Medicago truncatula: one gene and its partner. The main gene of each other region encodes a partner of the protein of the gene in region 2 in a complex. Links are inferred from orthologs where the notes say so. Each region holds a gene or a part of one and is shown on either strand. Other genes may lie near its edges.

Region 1 (7,406 bases), on a different chromosome or scaffold from region 2:
CCTTGAATTGACTATGATATTTAGACAAGACCAATTGAATTGCTAAAGATAGAAAAATACTAAGTATCAAGTAATTATAAAGGTATTGTAATTTATCTCATAAATAGAGCTTGGAAGATCAAATACTCTAGCATACCTTTTCTATTCTTATCTGTTCAAGGAGTTTACTTTTGTGACAGACAAGAATCTTGTGCTTGCAATCTTTCCAATCTAATTTAGAATAAATCATGTGAAAAATGAAAAGCCTAAGATGGAAGTATTACCAACTTTTTCTTTTGAAAAGTTAGTGCCAACAAAAGAAACATTAATACTTGGCACCAAATTGGGATTAAAAAATAAATTGTGAAACCTGTTTGTGTGTTACAAGTTAAATTAGAGAACAAGTTATATTTATAGTTGTGCAATTGTGTTAGAACAGCGAACACACGATATTTGATCATGCACGGACCACACGTGTGACATATCCATGTATAATTAAACTACGAGTCAAACCCAACAAATTGTTTCTAGGGTGAAATTTGAAAATTAATGTTAATTTGGACTATACGATGTCAGTGTATACAGGATGTCACACTTGATGAACAAATGCAGGACATCACTGGAGTTTTTCTTTGCCATATGGTTTGTGATGGGAAATGTTTGGGTTTTCGACTCGCGATTTGGTTCATTTCAACAAGCTCCAAAACTTCATGTCCTATGTATCACCTTGCTTACTTGGAATGCAATCTGCTACTCTTTCCCTTTCCTACTTTTTCTACTGTTATGTTGTTGTGTGCCACTGATTAGTACCCTCCTTGGTTACAACATGAACATAGCCTCTTCTAATAAAGGAGCATCTGATGAACAAATTTCACAACTTCCAAGTTGGAGACATAAAGAACCTCATGCTACCAAGTTAGAACTTGGCAATGACTCTGAAAGCATTGAAAAATTCATCAATGAAGATCCGGTAAGTAACTAACTCACAATGTAAACAAGTTTTACACAAAATATTTGATCATATTTCATCCTATCATATCATAATATTTTCTACAAAATAACTATAGAATGAGGGATGCTACTAAAAAATTCAAATGAGACAAAAATAGAAACATTATTTTATTTCCTACAATTTGGGATCTATTGATTATTGAATTAAATAAGTTTGGCATGTTGTGATGTGGTTGACAGGAATGTTGCATTTGTTTAGCAAAGTACAAAGATAAAGAAGAAGTTAGACAATTACCATGTTCTCATGTGTTCCACCTAGAATGTGTGGACCAATGGCTAAAAATTATATCATGCTGCCCACTTTGCAAACAAGGATTAGAAAGATAGAAGAAGTAGCTGAGACAACAATCAATCATACTCACATGACTAAATTGATTTGGTCATATACTCATATATCTGTATACTCTTGATATTGTCAAGATTTTTTTTCTCATTTTAAATTTTGGTCTAGTATACTTAACATGGTTACTTGAGTGAGTTTGTATATGTACAGAATAGCTCACCAGTAACCAAAAATACCTACCTAACAAGTGCTTAACTTTTCAAATAATGCCTAAGCATTATTTTTTTCACTGTATTTGAATATTGTGGGATAAGATTTCTGTATTGGAAAAATGAAGTAAATATTATATTTGTAACCTCAATAATAAATTTTGTACTATTTGGTACTCTTTTGGTTTTTAATTTTGACCAATTATTTTCACATTACATTGCTCTGAGACATGTTTTACTTTAATTTGAATAAACTTATAAAAGTAGATTATCATTGTCATACTTCTTTTTTTGTGAAGCCATTGTCATATATACTTGTATAGTATAATGACAATGATGATAAAGTTAACAAGGTCGGTTTGGGCTTGTGCAAATTTTTATATAAATCTCATTTAGAATTTATTTATTTGCTAAAGTAAAACCAACATAGGGAGGGTTTAGCTTGTCAAGGGAAAATTTCTATAGGAATAGGGTTGGCCTGTCTAATTATAGATAATAATAAAAAAAAGGTCTAGTATTATAGTGATATTTTTGCATTAATTTTTGTTTATTTAAAAAAATACATTTAATGTTCAAATCTCATTTACATAATTAATTGGTGTGGCTCGGTTGGTTAAGCAACGCTGAGCTTGTGAAGAGGACTAAAATTCAACCTACATGTAACATGTATTTTAAAAAGTGGTAAAGATCTTCAATCCACAATCGAAGCATCCGAACAAAGATTAATCACATAGCTAATTTAAAAGACCGAAGATTGTGAGAATACTTACTTTGTCAAGCCAAGAGTGCCAAAGACCTTGATTAAAGTGGTTTCCTAAAAAAAAATCTCATTTATTTTTATTGAAAAACAAATTGGCTTGTATAGTTGTATGCCTAGATAGCCTCCCCTATTAGTCACTTTCCAACTCCTGGACTTTTGGTGCAATGACCTATCCATTATAATTATTAAGGTATCTTATTTAAAATTAAGCTACTCTAAAGAAGAAAAACTATATATCAGAAATGGTCCCCCAATCAGTTCACTAACAACTTTTATTTCTTTTGTTCATCATCAACTTCATACTGCATTGTAGGTCATAGGTTAGTTGGAAAATATTTGTTTCTTTTTGTATTTTTCCAATTTATATATTTATATATAAGGGCAAATATTACCTAACTTATTTATTTCTTATTTTTAAACTTCTCCAACAGAAGAAAACTTACAACATTCCTCCAAAAAAAAAAAAACTTGCAACAATTTAACCGAAAATATAATGAGAAAATAAATCCTAAAAGATCAAATCAAATATCATTTGTACCCAAAAAAAGATTAAATGTTATAAATTATGTGCTTAATAATTTTCTTATTTGTTTCCTCTCAGAAAAAATTGAATGTTTTATTAACATAATATATGAAATATCTTAACATCAAAAGGAAATAAAATACTGAATGAAATTTATAAAATTTTATAAGATGTACATGTTTAAAAAGAAAGAGAGAAAAGTACGTGCTTTTAAATAATGAGAACCAAATATCTGCTGTTATGTTGCATATGTTTTGTGTTGTTTCTTCTACTATATGTAATGCACCTGTTACTAGCATCGTCAAGATGCAAATATATATCATACATAACTCGAGAACGTTTGGATCAGATTATTCGAGTCTTTTTTAATTTAATTAAATGTCATAAAATCGAATTCAAATGAAAGAACATGAAGCATTAAAACTCTTAAACCTCTTGAAGAAGAGTTTTGTTGTAGATGTGATTCTATCAAGATCAATTATTGAGTGTGGATGATAATAAACAAACAAGAAGGCTTACACAATGAAAATTGTTAGACCCTTCATACAAGTTGTAGCTTCTGATTAACTATTTTTATACGTAAAATTTAATTGTATCATAACTCTTGATCAACACTTTTAAACAAAGTGAGTAATAATTTTGCTCATTCTCGTCAAATAGTCGAGTGTGAGTTATCTCATGCATGTGTATTTTTAATGTGAGTTAACTCAAATAAATGTATTTTTCAACGTGAGTTAACAATGGAAATGAGCAAAAATAGATGAGAGAAAAGCAATCTCTAAATTCTACTAACAAATTTCTAGAAAAATATGATATGCCCAGGCCCACGCCCACGTAGACTTCGACATGCATTTGCCCCTTATTATATGGTAACTAAATCATAATTATAACACATTTTAATTTCTTTACACCTTTTGAACACACACATTTTAACTTCTTTTCACCTTTTGAATACTCCCCCATCCGATAATAACTGAGTTTTTCATTCATTTCATACATATTAAAAAAAGTGTATAAGTGAAAGAGAAAAAAATGAGTTTTGAGTGTGTTCTTAAGTATTGGTCATTTTCCATTATCATAAATGCAAAGTAAAATATGTTGAATTGAGAAAGATGAAAGTAATATTAATTAGAGTTATGATTGAAAAAAGCAATAAATATGGCATTGAAAAGTGAAATGAGTCAATTTTTGTAGGACTTTTTTTTTTTACAAATGACACAGTTATTTTTTAAAATTTAATGCTATGTTATTATTTTATTTGACTATCCCGTGAACTTAGCTCAGTTTGTAGGGATATTGCATATTATATACAAGGTCGGGGTTCGAACCCCGAACACTCCACAATAAATTGTATGAATTTTAGCCACTAGGGTAATTGACCAAAAAAAATATTATTTGACCAAAAAAATATTTAAATTTTTTTTTTTGACAAAATATTTTAAATTTATTATTTTTCAGTAAAACATTAAATCCAGTCAAAAGAAAAATTAAATTATATAGTATATAATATACAAAAAAAAAAAAAAAAAAAAAAAAAACTGAAAAATGAAACAAAATTTGTAGAGAATATTTGTCAAAAATAACAATAAATTCATAATGATATGATATGTTATATGTGTCAGCATTGATTTCATTCCAAGTTGCATAGTACTCCATCTGTCATCACATCATCATTCATCATCATCTTCGTTCTTCACACACTCTCGATTCGATTCGATTCGATTTCATTCGCCTGCAACCACCGTCACAACAACCCTTCTTCACCACTATTTCCCTAAGCTTTTCTAAAAATCTCTTTTTTCTCACTGATCCTTTAACTTCAAGGTAAGTTTTTTCACCATACCCACTTTTTATTTTCCTCAAAAATCTTATAATTGAGCATGATTATCGTTAATTCTGATCTGGGGTTGTTGAATTTTGCTTAAATGTCATGTCTTTTTTGTTTCTTCGTGTTTATTTATGTCTGTTTTGGATAGATCGATGAATTTTCTATGCATGTGGATTGGTGTGTGAATTGGGTTGAATTCAGAATCTAACAACCTTGAATGTTTTCAAATTTTGAATCTTTTGAATATTGGGGTATTGAATTCATTATCTTTGAATGGTTTTAACGCGATTCTGAGATGTTTTCTAGGTGATGCTGAATGTTTGATCATGGATCTTAGGTGCTAGAGAGAGATTGAATTGTTTGTTGTGGTTATATGAATAATTAGGTATCAATTTTTTAGTGAATTGGTTAAACTACTTCACTACAACGAGTAATTAAGTGAGGTTATTTGTTTGTTGTATTAAGGTTTTGTTATGAATTTGGCCAAACTTAGGAATCATTGATGGGAATAACGCGATACATAATTTGTTGTGTTTGATTTTTGAGTGCTTTTAGTTTGATGTAATATGTTTGGAATTACAGTAAGTTTGACAAAATCATAGTGGCACTGTGATTTTGTGGAAGCTCCATGGTGTAGTTTTTGATTGATTTAACCACGAATTTAAACATGCAGTAAGTAAATTGCAGTTAAGTTCTGATGCTGGTTAGAGCATGGCATTTGTTCATTTGTATTTCCGTTTTGATTATTTTACGTTCTTTGTTTCTTTAGTAGACTGTGATTGATATTTTACTTCAGTTCTATAATTAGACTCTTTTGTTGATGGTGCCTTCAAATTTTGCAGATCTTAGCATTTGGGAGTTGGCCAACTGAAATTGGAAATGGTTAAAAGGTTTAGTTGCTAACCGCCTGCTAAAGATGACTTTATGAGGAATTAACTAAATTATATATCTAATTGATTTGTTTTCTGGAACAGTTATGGAGGATTTTGATTTTGAGGTACAAGAGATATCATGTTGCAGTGCATAGAGGGAATTAAGCATTTGTTTGCTCCTCTATTGCAATGTTGTGACATTGACTTATATAAGCAGACAACAGGACTTGAAGATCCTGAAATTCTTGCGAGGGAGACAGTGTGTATGCATCGACCTAACTTTATGAATATAATGTGGTTATTGTTACTTTTGCTCTTATAAAAATGAATTCTGATTTGAATATGTGCTTCTTATATCTTGTATATTATGTCATTACCTTTTGATTTTGAAAGCATGTGGATGATATTATTGTGCTCTCTTTTTTTAGTTGTGGATTCAATTACCTCATACTACTATTTGAAATAAATACACATAGATAGAGATGATGGTAGATATTTGTTTTGCTTGTGTATGCAGTTAGTGTAAGTGAAATTGAAGCTCTTTATGAGCTCTTTAAAAAGATCAGCAGTGCGGTGATTGATGATGGGCTGATCAACAAGGTTTGTCTGCTTCGTCTCTGACAACTTGTGGTTTGTCGTTTGTGGATATAATAAATTTTCTTGATTAAACCTTTTCAATGCAAAACAACATGTATAATCATTCTATACCAATAAATTATATTTTCTGACAACCTATGTTATTAATTTCTTCAATCAGAGAGGATATAACATTATAAAATATGACATGATATATTCAGTTTTCACTTTTTTCCTACAATATTAATTATTAATATGCATCATTTGCAGGAAGAGTTTCAATTGGCATTATTCAAGACAAATAAAAAAGAGAGTTTATTTGCCGATCGGGTATGGTATTTCTGTCTTTTCTATTGATCATTGTTTGACTTTTCTCTGAACTATGAAATTTTGTTTTAGGCCAAGGCCATCAAATACAACAATAACGAAGTCTTATCTCAACCTAATATGACATACAAAATAAACTTTGTCTTCATCTAATTCTAAACAACTGAAATTTTGATTCCCGTCTTCTTTGTATTACCACAAAGTTAAACTGAAATGAGTTTTTTTATTACCTCAAAGCTAAACCGAAATGAGGTTTTTAACATCGATGTCTTCATATGACAATTTTTTTTTGGGGGGAATCATACGACATTTAAAATAACTTCTTCGTACATGTTATTCTTAATGTTTCACCACGTAGGTTACCTCTCTTGTTTTCATGATCACTCACTCCTGTGAAACTTTATATTGAATTATTTAAATTATTTACCTTTGATTACAAGTTTTCCCACACGTTCCCTTTTTTGTTTCAACATTTAAAAAAATGCACTTTCCATACCATATTAATTACCATTGTAAATGCTATTCCTTCTTACTTGCAACATGTGCATGTACTGGTTCATATCGTATATTGCTTCAAATTGTTAATATCTCATATGAGCTTATTTCTGGGTAGGTATTTGATTTGTTTGATACAAAGCACAATGGGATACTTGGTTTCGAAGAGTTTGCCCGCGCCCTCTCTGTTTTCCATCCAAATGCCCCTATTGATGAAAAGATTGAGTGTATGTTACTTCAATTCTTTGGTTTACTTCACCTTACTTCTTTTCAGTTTACCAAAATTAAAACTATATAATACTTCTTTTCAATTTACCAAAACTAAACCATATAATATCTTGTTTCAGTTTCCTTTCAACTGTATGATCTCAAGCAGCAGGGTTTTATTGAAAGACAAGAGGTGATTAGCCTTCTTTAAATCTTATTTTGCTTAAGCTTTTTCTTCTTGTTTGGGACAAACCTTCGATTTTTTTTTATGTAAAGGTGAAACAAATGGTAGTTGCTACGCTTGCTGAATCTGGCATGAATCTATCAGACGATGTT
Region 2 (7,706 bases):
TAAGCAACCTATTGTTCGCTTAAGCGAACAAGTTCCAAAGAGCAACCAGTCTGTTCGCTTACAAGCACACCTTCAGTTCGCTCATGAGAAAAGTTCAGTTCGTTTAAGCGACCTATTGTTCGCTTAAGCGAACAAGTTCCAGAGAGCTCCAAAATGGTTCGCTTCCTGTACGCTTACAGTTCGCTTGAGCCAAGTTCATCAAATTTCAGAAGATAAGGACCACGTGGCAACTCCTCAATGGACAATGGAAGATTCCCTAGATGTTCGCTTAAGCGAATGTTGCTTTGCTTAAGCGAACGAGCACAAATATGGCCCATATAAATAGTTTTCTCTTCTCTTTCCAACTATTCTTTTACATTTTCTTTGATATTTTTCTGGTTTTTAGAGAGAGACTAGGGCTTTTCTAGAGATAGAAACACAAAGCAAGGTAGTTAGGAGTAGATTCAAGCCAAGATTTGTTGAGACATCATGAATCTTGTCATTGAATCTTCATTTCTTCCTCATCCTTTGCAAAGCTATCATAGACATATGTAGTTATATCTACTCTTGTGGTTTTGAGGTATTCAAACAAGCTATTATGTAATCTTTTGATAATTTAATATATGGTTCTAGCTATTTATTCAATATTGTTGTTATTCTTGCTTTTATTGTTTTATTGAGATTTGAAATGATATGGACACATACTTTTAAATCTAGAAATAGAATAACAATCTATCTTAAGTTATCCCTCTAAACATTGATGTTAATATTTGATAATCACTTTTAATCTAGAACTTAATGCTTTTAGGTCAATTAATCGGTTGGGAAATCATCGATTAAACGATCCAATCAACTTTGTGATCGTTTAAATGTTTGGAAAATCGATGTTTAAACGATCCCTTAGAAATAACGATATCATTTGGACACGAATGATATTGTCGAGTGATTGTGATAATATCGTTTAAAAAGCTAGAATCCGTTAATCGATCGAGAGATTGTAGCTGTTACGCTTGATTGATGTCTCTGAGCGCAAGCGAAATAGTCCTATCTCTTCTCGTTTTACTTTTATGTCGAATAGGAAAATAGTTTTACACAACCAAACAATTTATACTCAAACACTTAATGTGATAAACATTATGAAAATACTTATGAAATACGCAACTCCTTACAAAAACGATCCTATTATACTCACATGTAAATAGTTTATCACATGTAAAAATCTTACATCACAAATACAAAGGTACTTTGTTCACCTCTATATAGATATCGCGAACTCTAACATTCCAATTTTCTAGAAGTAAGTTTTGAATCTTCCTAATCAAGCTCCTACCACCAACGCTTCCAACATCCTCCCTCCCCCCACTAAGACGACTCCTTACCATTCCTAATAGGTCCATATGTAGCTCCACGTAAAAATAAAATAAAAAAATCTCTAGCCCACACTAAGCACTCGTCATGCAATATTTTTTGCAAATCCTTCCGGCTATTTCCCATCCACATCCCTTATCACTCCACAACAATCATTGATCATATTCAATTTCTACGAAAGCACCATCGTTGTTGATGTATGTATGTCCAATCTATTTTCTCTCTAGTAATTGATAACAATGACTTGCAATTTCTACAAGACAGCTCATGCACTCGTCTTAGACCTCATGTAAATATTTACATGCTGCAGAGTTTTACAAGAGAGACAAACATATCTTCAAAACCAGGATCGAATTTGCTTTATGCCTCCATAAATAGATATGGTGGCAAGTGTTATCCTAATCAACTCTCTGCTCAACTTCTCCTTTAAAAAATACATTAATATTCAAATTATTGAAAACCCGCTCTTTAAACTGACTTACCTATAAATCCAACCTCCATTGAATAAGCACCAAGTGGTTCCAAACAAAGCTAGCCAAAGAACAATCATGAAACACATGTAAAACGTTCTCCTCAACTCCGACACAATTATCAAAATAAGTGGTATTTAAAACTCGGATCAAAATAAGTGGTTCAGAATCAAATTAATTTGAATATTAATGTAAAATATTGACCCATCATGACCTACGAAAATAAAACTTTAAATTTAAAATTAATTTAGTTCTTTTATTCCACACTGACTTTATTATTCTTATCAAGAGAGAGAATTTTAGGATCACATCAACCATGGTTGTAATAATCAGAATTTTTTAGTCTAAATAGAAATATACAAATCAAAATCATCTTCCTCTATAAAAAAAAAAAAAAAAAATCATATCTTCCTACTCTTGTTCTAATAATGTAAGGGCAAATGAATCACAATAATTACTAACATTCGAAAGTATTTCAGAAACTCTTTTATGGTTTTTAAATTAAAAAATTATTCTTAATGAAAATAAAATACTTTAATTTTCAATACACCGACAACACTAATCTTTATAATAACATACCATTTAATACACTTACCCTAGAAAAGAAAACCATTTAATACACTTAAATAGTGATATGATTACACTCATTAGCGTCTTCATTTATATATAATTTTGGCTAAAAAAGTCTAGACATAAATGGAGTACAGATTATCAATTCAATATTTTTTTTTATAAGTAGTGACCTAAAGTTTACTATGGCTCTGGATTTGGATTCTCTCCATAGACTTCACTCATTCAATATATATTTTTGACCAAATATGAATATATATTTTTTTAAGGGTTGAATTATCTTATATGTTAATCTTGAGTTTGATTTACTATTTATAAACAAATTAGATGTTTGATTTATTTTTTATAAACGAATTAGATAATGCAGCCCTCGAACAGGGTATATGATGAAATGGTGGATAAAACTTTATAAAAAAAACAAAAAAAAAAAAAATTGAAGGAAAAACTTTATAAAAAATTGTAATTATTGCCTTCGACCTTAAGACCTCGTCTCGAGTTTGATGTGTGTAGCAATTTATAATATTTTAAATTTAAATAATTAATGGCACCGTTGACTCATGAATCCCAATAAATAAAAAGCTGCACGAACGACCTAAGAGATGCCACTATTTTTTAAAATAAATAAGGACTCTATTTGAATAAGAATACGGTATAATTTTTTCTCAAATTTTTCAAAAAGAATTGAATGGATTTAGTTCTCTAATTTTTAAAAGAAACAAATTTCTCGGTCTATGAATAATGAGAGATAGAAATAAATTACACTTTTAGTTTCTTAACTTAATTTCAGGTAACAGTTTCGTCCTTTATCTTTTTTTCATTTCAATTTGATCCTTTTTGTCCATTTTCGTATACATTTTCAAGCTTCAAATCTAATATTCTTATGCAAACATAGACGAGGATCATAGATTTGAAGACTGAAAGACCATAAGAAAATAAAATCAAACTTAATTATTATTATCTTTTTTTTAGGGAATTATCGTTCTTTGTCTAAAGAGAATAATTATTTTCTAAGGACCCGTGAATTTAATAACATTGTTAATGCATGCAATGACGAATTCGAACTTCAGTCACTACACTTATATGTTAAAGGTGAATTTCTAACCACTAAATGATTTGAAAAAATAATCCATAAAAATATAGATATGTGGATTCCCTGAGACCATCCTAGTATGCAAACCGGAAAGACTGTTAGATTTTGAGAGAAAGCGAAAAAAAATTCTCTAGGAGCGTACAAGATCCAAGTCCAAGAATAAAGGAGATATCAAATGATTTAAATCATTAAAAATAATATTTTTTTTAGGGGAAATTCTTTTTTCTGGTTACAATGCTAAAGAAAAAAGAAAAAAAATAGAAAATAAACAATTACAAACTACTCTTCAGGAATGAAAGTCCCAACTGCATTCATCTTTAGGGAATATAAGAGACCATTCAAAGGGGTGGCATGGTGAACCAAATCATGATATGAGGAGGCTCCAAACTTGACCAAAAAATTTGTGCATTGATTTCCCATCCTGAGAGTGTGACAAACAATAGTATTACTTTGTTCCATCAAATACTTCACGTCTTGAACCAACACGGCATAAACATGAAACCTGGGAGTTGGGCCTTTGAGGAGGTTAACACAAAAACGAGCTCTTCAATCCCCAATTTTATTTGCCAACAAGAGACCATGATAAATAACATATATTTGAACGTTCCGAAGGTGTACTGTTACTCTTGCTCAATAAATTTATAAATTAACGATCATTTTATGAAATAAAAAGTTAAAAAAGAGTAAATTTGATTTTGTTGAAGCTTTTGGTAAATAAGATATAATTATTATAAGGGAAATGCTAACTGGTGCCCCCGAGGCACTGGTTAAGGATATGAAAAATTAAAGAAAATTATACAGTAGTTAATGCATTGAAATTGTGTAATTAATTTATAATAAAGTCAAAAGCAGTTTCCTTTTATGGTATGCTTAACCAGTGCTCTGGGGGCACCGGTTAGCAGAACCTTTATTATAATTGTCAATGATAGAAAATAATTTTTTTCTTCAAAAGAAAACTCAATTAATTAATAGTTTTACAATTTGGTGTACCGGTACACTCAAATTTTTGAGTGTACCATTGAATTTGCCAATTTTTAAATATTTATTCAACATTGTTTTTAAATAATCAATTTATTATTACATATTTATATCATTATCTTTATTTCATTTTCCCCTTAAAAAAAGTTCTCTAATTCTTTTTTCTGTTAAGGTGTCTTTGAAATATTTCCAAATGCATTAATTGACTACTTTATGTTTCTATATAAAGACATTAGAAACTGTGTATGCCATACCATCACTCTCACACGCAGACATAAATATAGATTCAATTCAAGAACCGCCTAAACATGTCTATCAAAACCGTGTACTAACAACTACTGGAAAAAAAGATTCATACAAGGAACAAGTTACTAGAACATAAAAATGGTGCTTCCAATGACTATGTGTGGCCAAGAAGAACTTGAATTATCAAGAGATGGTAGTCACTATAGTCTCACAACCGGAATATTACCTTCTCTTGGTGCCAGAAGCAACCGGAGAGTTAAACTCAGACCCCTCATTATATCTCCCTATGATCGCCGTTACCGGTAATTCCTTCTCCGTTTATTCTTCTTTCAACGTTCTTGATAATCTTATTTGAAACGTGTCAGACAGTAAATATATGATTAACCAATTCTTGGTTGGAGGTGCCAACGCTTGTTGACTGTTCTCTTCTTTCTTAAGATTTCACTTTGTTTTTAAGAAACACAATAAATGATATTAACGTTTATAATTAGTCTTTATTAGTCTTGATTAGTCTTCAAATTTTCCAGTATTTCACATTATTTTTTTTATTTTTTTTCCTTTCTTGTGACAGAGTTGAAAGACATGACATTGATTTTTCTGTTGCTTTGTTTCTGACGGAAAATTGTTAGCTGTTAATGTTTCACTTCTTTCATTTTCTGTTTGTATTTGATGTTATTATTTTATTGAATTTTTTCTTCTTGGTCCTCTCTTTTATTCTATTTTTTGAAACCATTCAAGAAATTCCATCTTCACGGATTTCTCACATAGAAGGTTGTTTTATAAATAAATTAACAATATTTTTCTTTATTTTTACTATTTATTAATTACTCTCATTTGTATTCTCATGTTTGTATTCTTCGAAAATACATGCTCATATTTGTTTGTTTTGTTACCCTTTTGAAACATAAACCAACAATTTCTCTTCTTAATGATCCCCGCCGTATACTAAAACAGAAAAGAAATCTGTTTATCTTTCGTTTTCTTATACTAATCTTTTTAATTAACAATTTTATCACTCAATTTTCTCGAAATGTTCTTATTTTGAGATCTATCCAACTCATTTAAAAATTCGGTTTGTTTTGTTCTGTTTAATTTGGTTTTTTTTACTCTTCAAAGGAACATCCAAAAAGTTTACACGTGTTTTTAGTGATCCTATAAAGTTTGACTTTGTTTTCCTTGTATGGGAAACAACCAAGAAGTTGGTGGTGTTTTAATGATGGCTATGAGTTTGTAACGAAAGAAATTTGATGTTGGATTCTCAACTGAAATTCCTAAATTACCCGTTTTGTTCTTGCCTTTGTAACTGCTACTCTGTTTCGTGTAAAGAGTCATTTTCTATGTTTCTCTTATTATGTTCTCTCATGTCAATTTGTTAAAGTGCGGTTTGTGAGTGATTTGTCAACTGTGACTCTCATTGACTATAAGAATTTTTAAAATAATGACAACTTATGCACCTAATGATTTAAGGAGGTTTTAGATGAAAATATGATTTTTAAATGAGTAGTGATATTTTGACAACCATTTTGGTACAACCTTTGATACAACTTTGTTTTTTCATTGGTCAAAAACAATGGAGAGAGAAAAATGTAGAGATAGAATAAAAACATAATGTGAGTATGAGAGAGAAAGTTGTACAAAATGGTTGTACAAATATCATTTCTCTTTTTAAATTCACTTGTATGATTGCTTTTAATTCAACGTAATCAATTAGCAAAGTTTTTTAAAACTCCCCGTCCCAACAGCGGGGGCCCCATTTGGGGTCTCGCTGGCGGGAAGTTTTCCCCCACACGAATTGGATGGGGGAGAAAGTCCCACTAGGTGATTTGGGAAAATATTTATTGTTGTCGCAAAACTCGCAATAATGTCTTAATTTTAAATTTTTTATGATTAAAATTTAAATATTTTTTCTACCAATTTAATTGAATATTATATAAATTTGATTATTTTTAAATATTGATCATGGGGCGGAGACGGAGATTTAGGAGGAGAATACTCCCCAAGGCGGGGAATGGAGTTGATGAGCATTTTGGATGGCGGGAGTACTCCCGCCAGCACCCGTCTCATTGACATCCCTACTTCTCATCTTATTGAACATAAATAACTGCTGCATTTGAAATTTAGAGTTTTCTAAGACTATTAAGTAATTAAAACTTTTTGGCTTTTGCAGGATATGGGAAACTTTCCTTGTTACATTGGTTGTGTATACTGCATGGGTATCTCCATTTGAATTTGGATTCCTTAAGAAACCACAAAAACCCCTTTCTGTTACTGATAATATTGTCAATGGATTCTTTGCTATAGATATAGTTCTCACTTTCTTTGTGGCTTATATAGACAAAACTACCTATTTGTTCGTAGATAACCCGAAACAGATTGCTTGGAAATATGCAAAAACTTGGTTTGTACTTGATCTTATTTCCATCATTCCTTCTGAGCTTGTTGCACATATATCACCTGCTCCTATGCAAACCTATGGCCTATTCAACATGCTTAGGCTTTGGCGTCTTCGTAGAGTTAGCGCTATGTTTTCTCGGTAAGATTGAAACTTGATAGCTTTGGTGCATATGTTTGGATGAGCGATGAGATTGATAAAAAGCAGTGAGCCAGTCACAAATTTTCCACAAAAGCTACACTTTGTAGCTTTGCAAAATCACGGTGGCTCACTAGATTTTTCAATCTCGTTGCTCATCTTAACATGCATTTACTCCCATAAAATCATGTATATATTTTGTTTCCTTTTTGTGTAGTTTATGACCGTAAATGTTGTTTCTTTGATCCTAGGCTTGAGAAGGACAGAAACTATAACTATTTTTGGGTTCGGTGTGCAAAGCTTATTTGTGTAAGTTTTTGAATATATTGTGTTTGTAACCTTTTAAGAAGGAAGATAAATTAGATGTAAATGAGATGGACTAATAATCTGAATGATTTTCATAGGTTACTCTATTTGCTGTGCACTGTGCTGGATGCTTTTATTATCTTCTTGCCGCGCGTTATCATGATCCAGA

What was found.
Region 1: potassium channel AKT1 (region 2) and calcineurin B-like protein 3 share a complex: the UniProt entries of both Arabidopsis thaliana proteins name them as parts of the K(+)-channel calcium-sensing kinase/phosphatase complex. The link is inferred for Medicago truncatula from reciprocal best matches to the Arabidopsis thaliana genes KT1 and CBL2.

What each region holds. Positions count from the first base shown.
Region 1 is NC_053046.1:43,347,243-43,354,648, forward strand, and holds the start of calcineurin B-like protein 3, read left to right. Parts: upstream 1-4,391; 5' UTR 4,392-4,589; intron 4,590-5,435; 5' UTR 5,436-5,483; intron 5,484-5,567; 5' UTR 5,568-5,604; coding exon 5,605-5,728; intron 5,729-5,982; coding exon 5,983-6,065; intron 6,066-6,311; coding exon 6,312-6,371; intron 6,372-6,981; coding exon 6,982-7,090; intron 7,091-7,210; coding exon 7,211-7,263; intron 7,264-7,346; coding exon 7,347-7,406. UniProt on the Arabidopsis thaliana protein: Acts as a calcium sensor. CBL proteins interact with CIPK serine-threonine protein kinases. Binding of a CBL protein to the regulatory NAF domain of a CIPK protein lead to the activation of the kinase in a calcium-dependent manner.
Region 2 is NC_053045.1:54,796,066-54,803,771, reverse strand, and holds the start of potassium channel AKT1, read left to right. Parts: upstream 1-4,692; 5' UTR 4,693-4,839; coding exon 4,840-5,003; intron 5,004-6,868; coding exon 6,869-7,234; intron 7,235-7,482; coding exon 7,483-7,540; intron 7,541-7,635; coding exon 7,636-7,706. UniProt on the Arabidopsis thaliana protein: Highly selective inward-rectifying potassium channel that mediate potassium uptake by plant roots in response to low K(+) conditions, by a calcium-, CBL-, and CIPK-dependent pathway. Positively regulated by phosphorylation by CIPK23.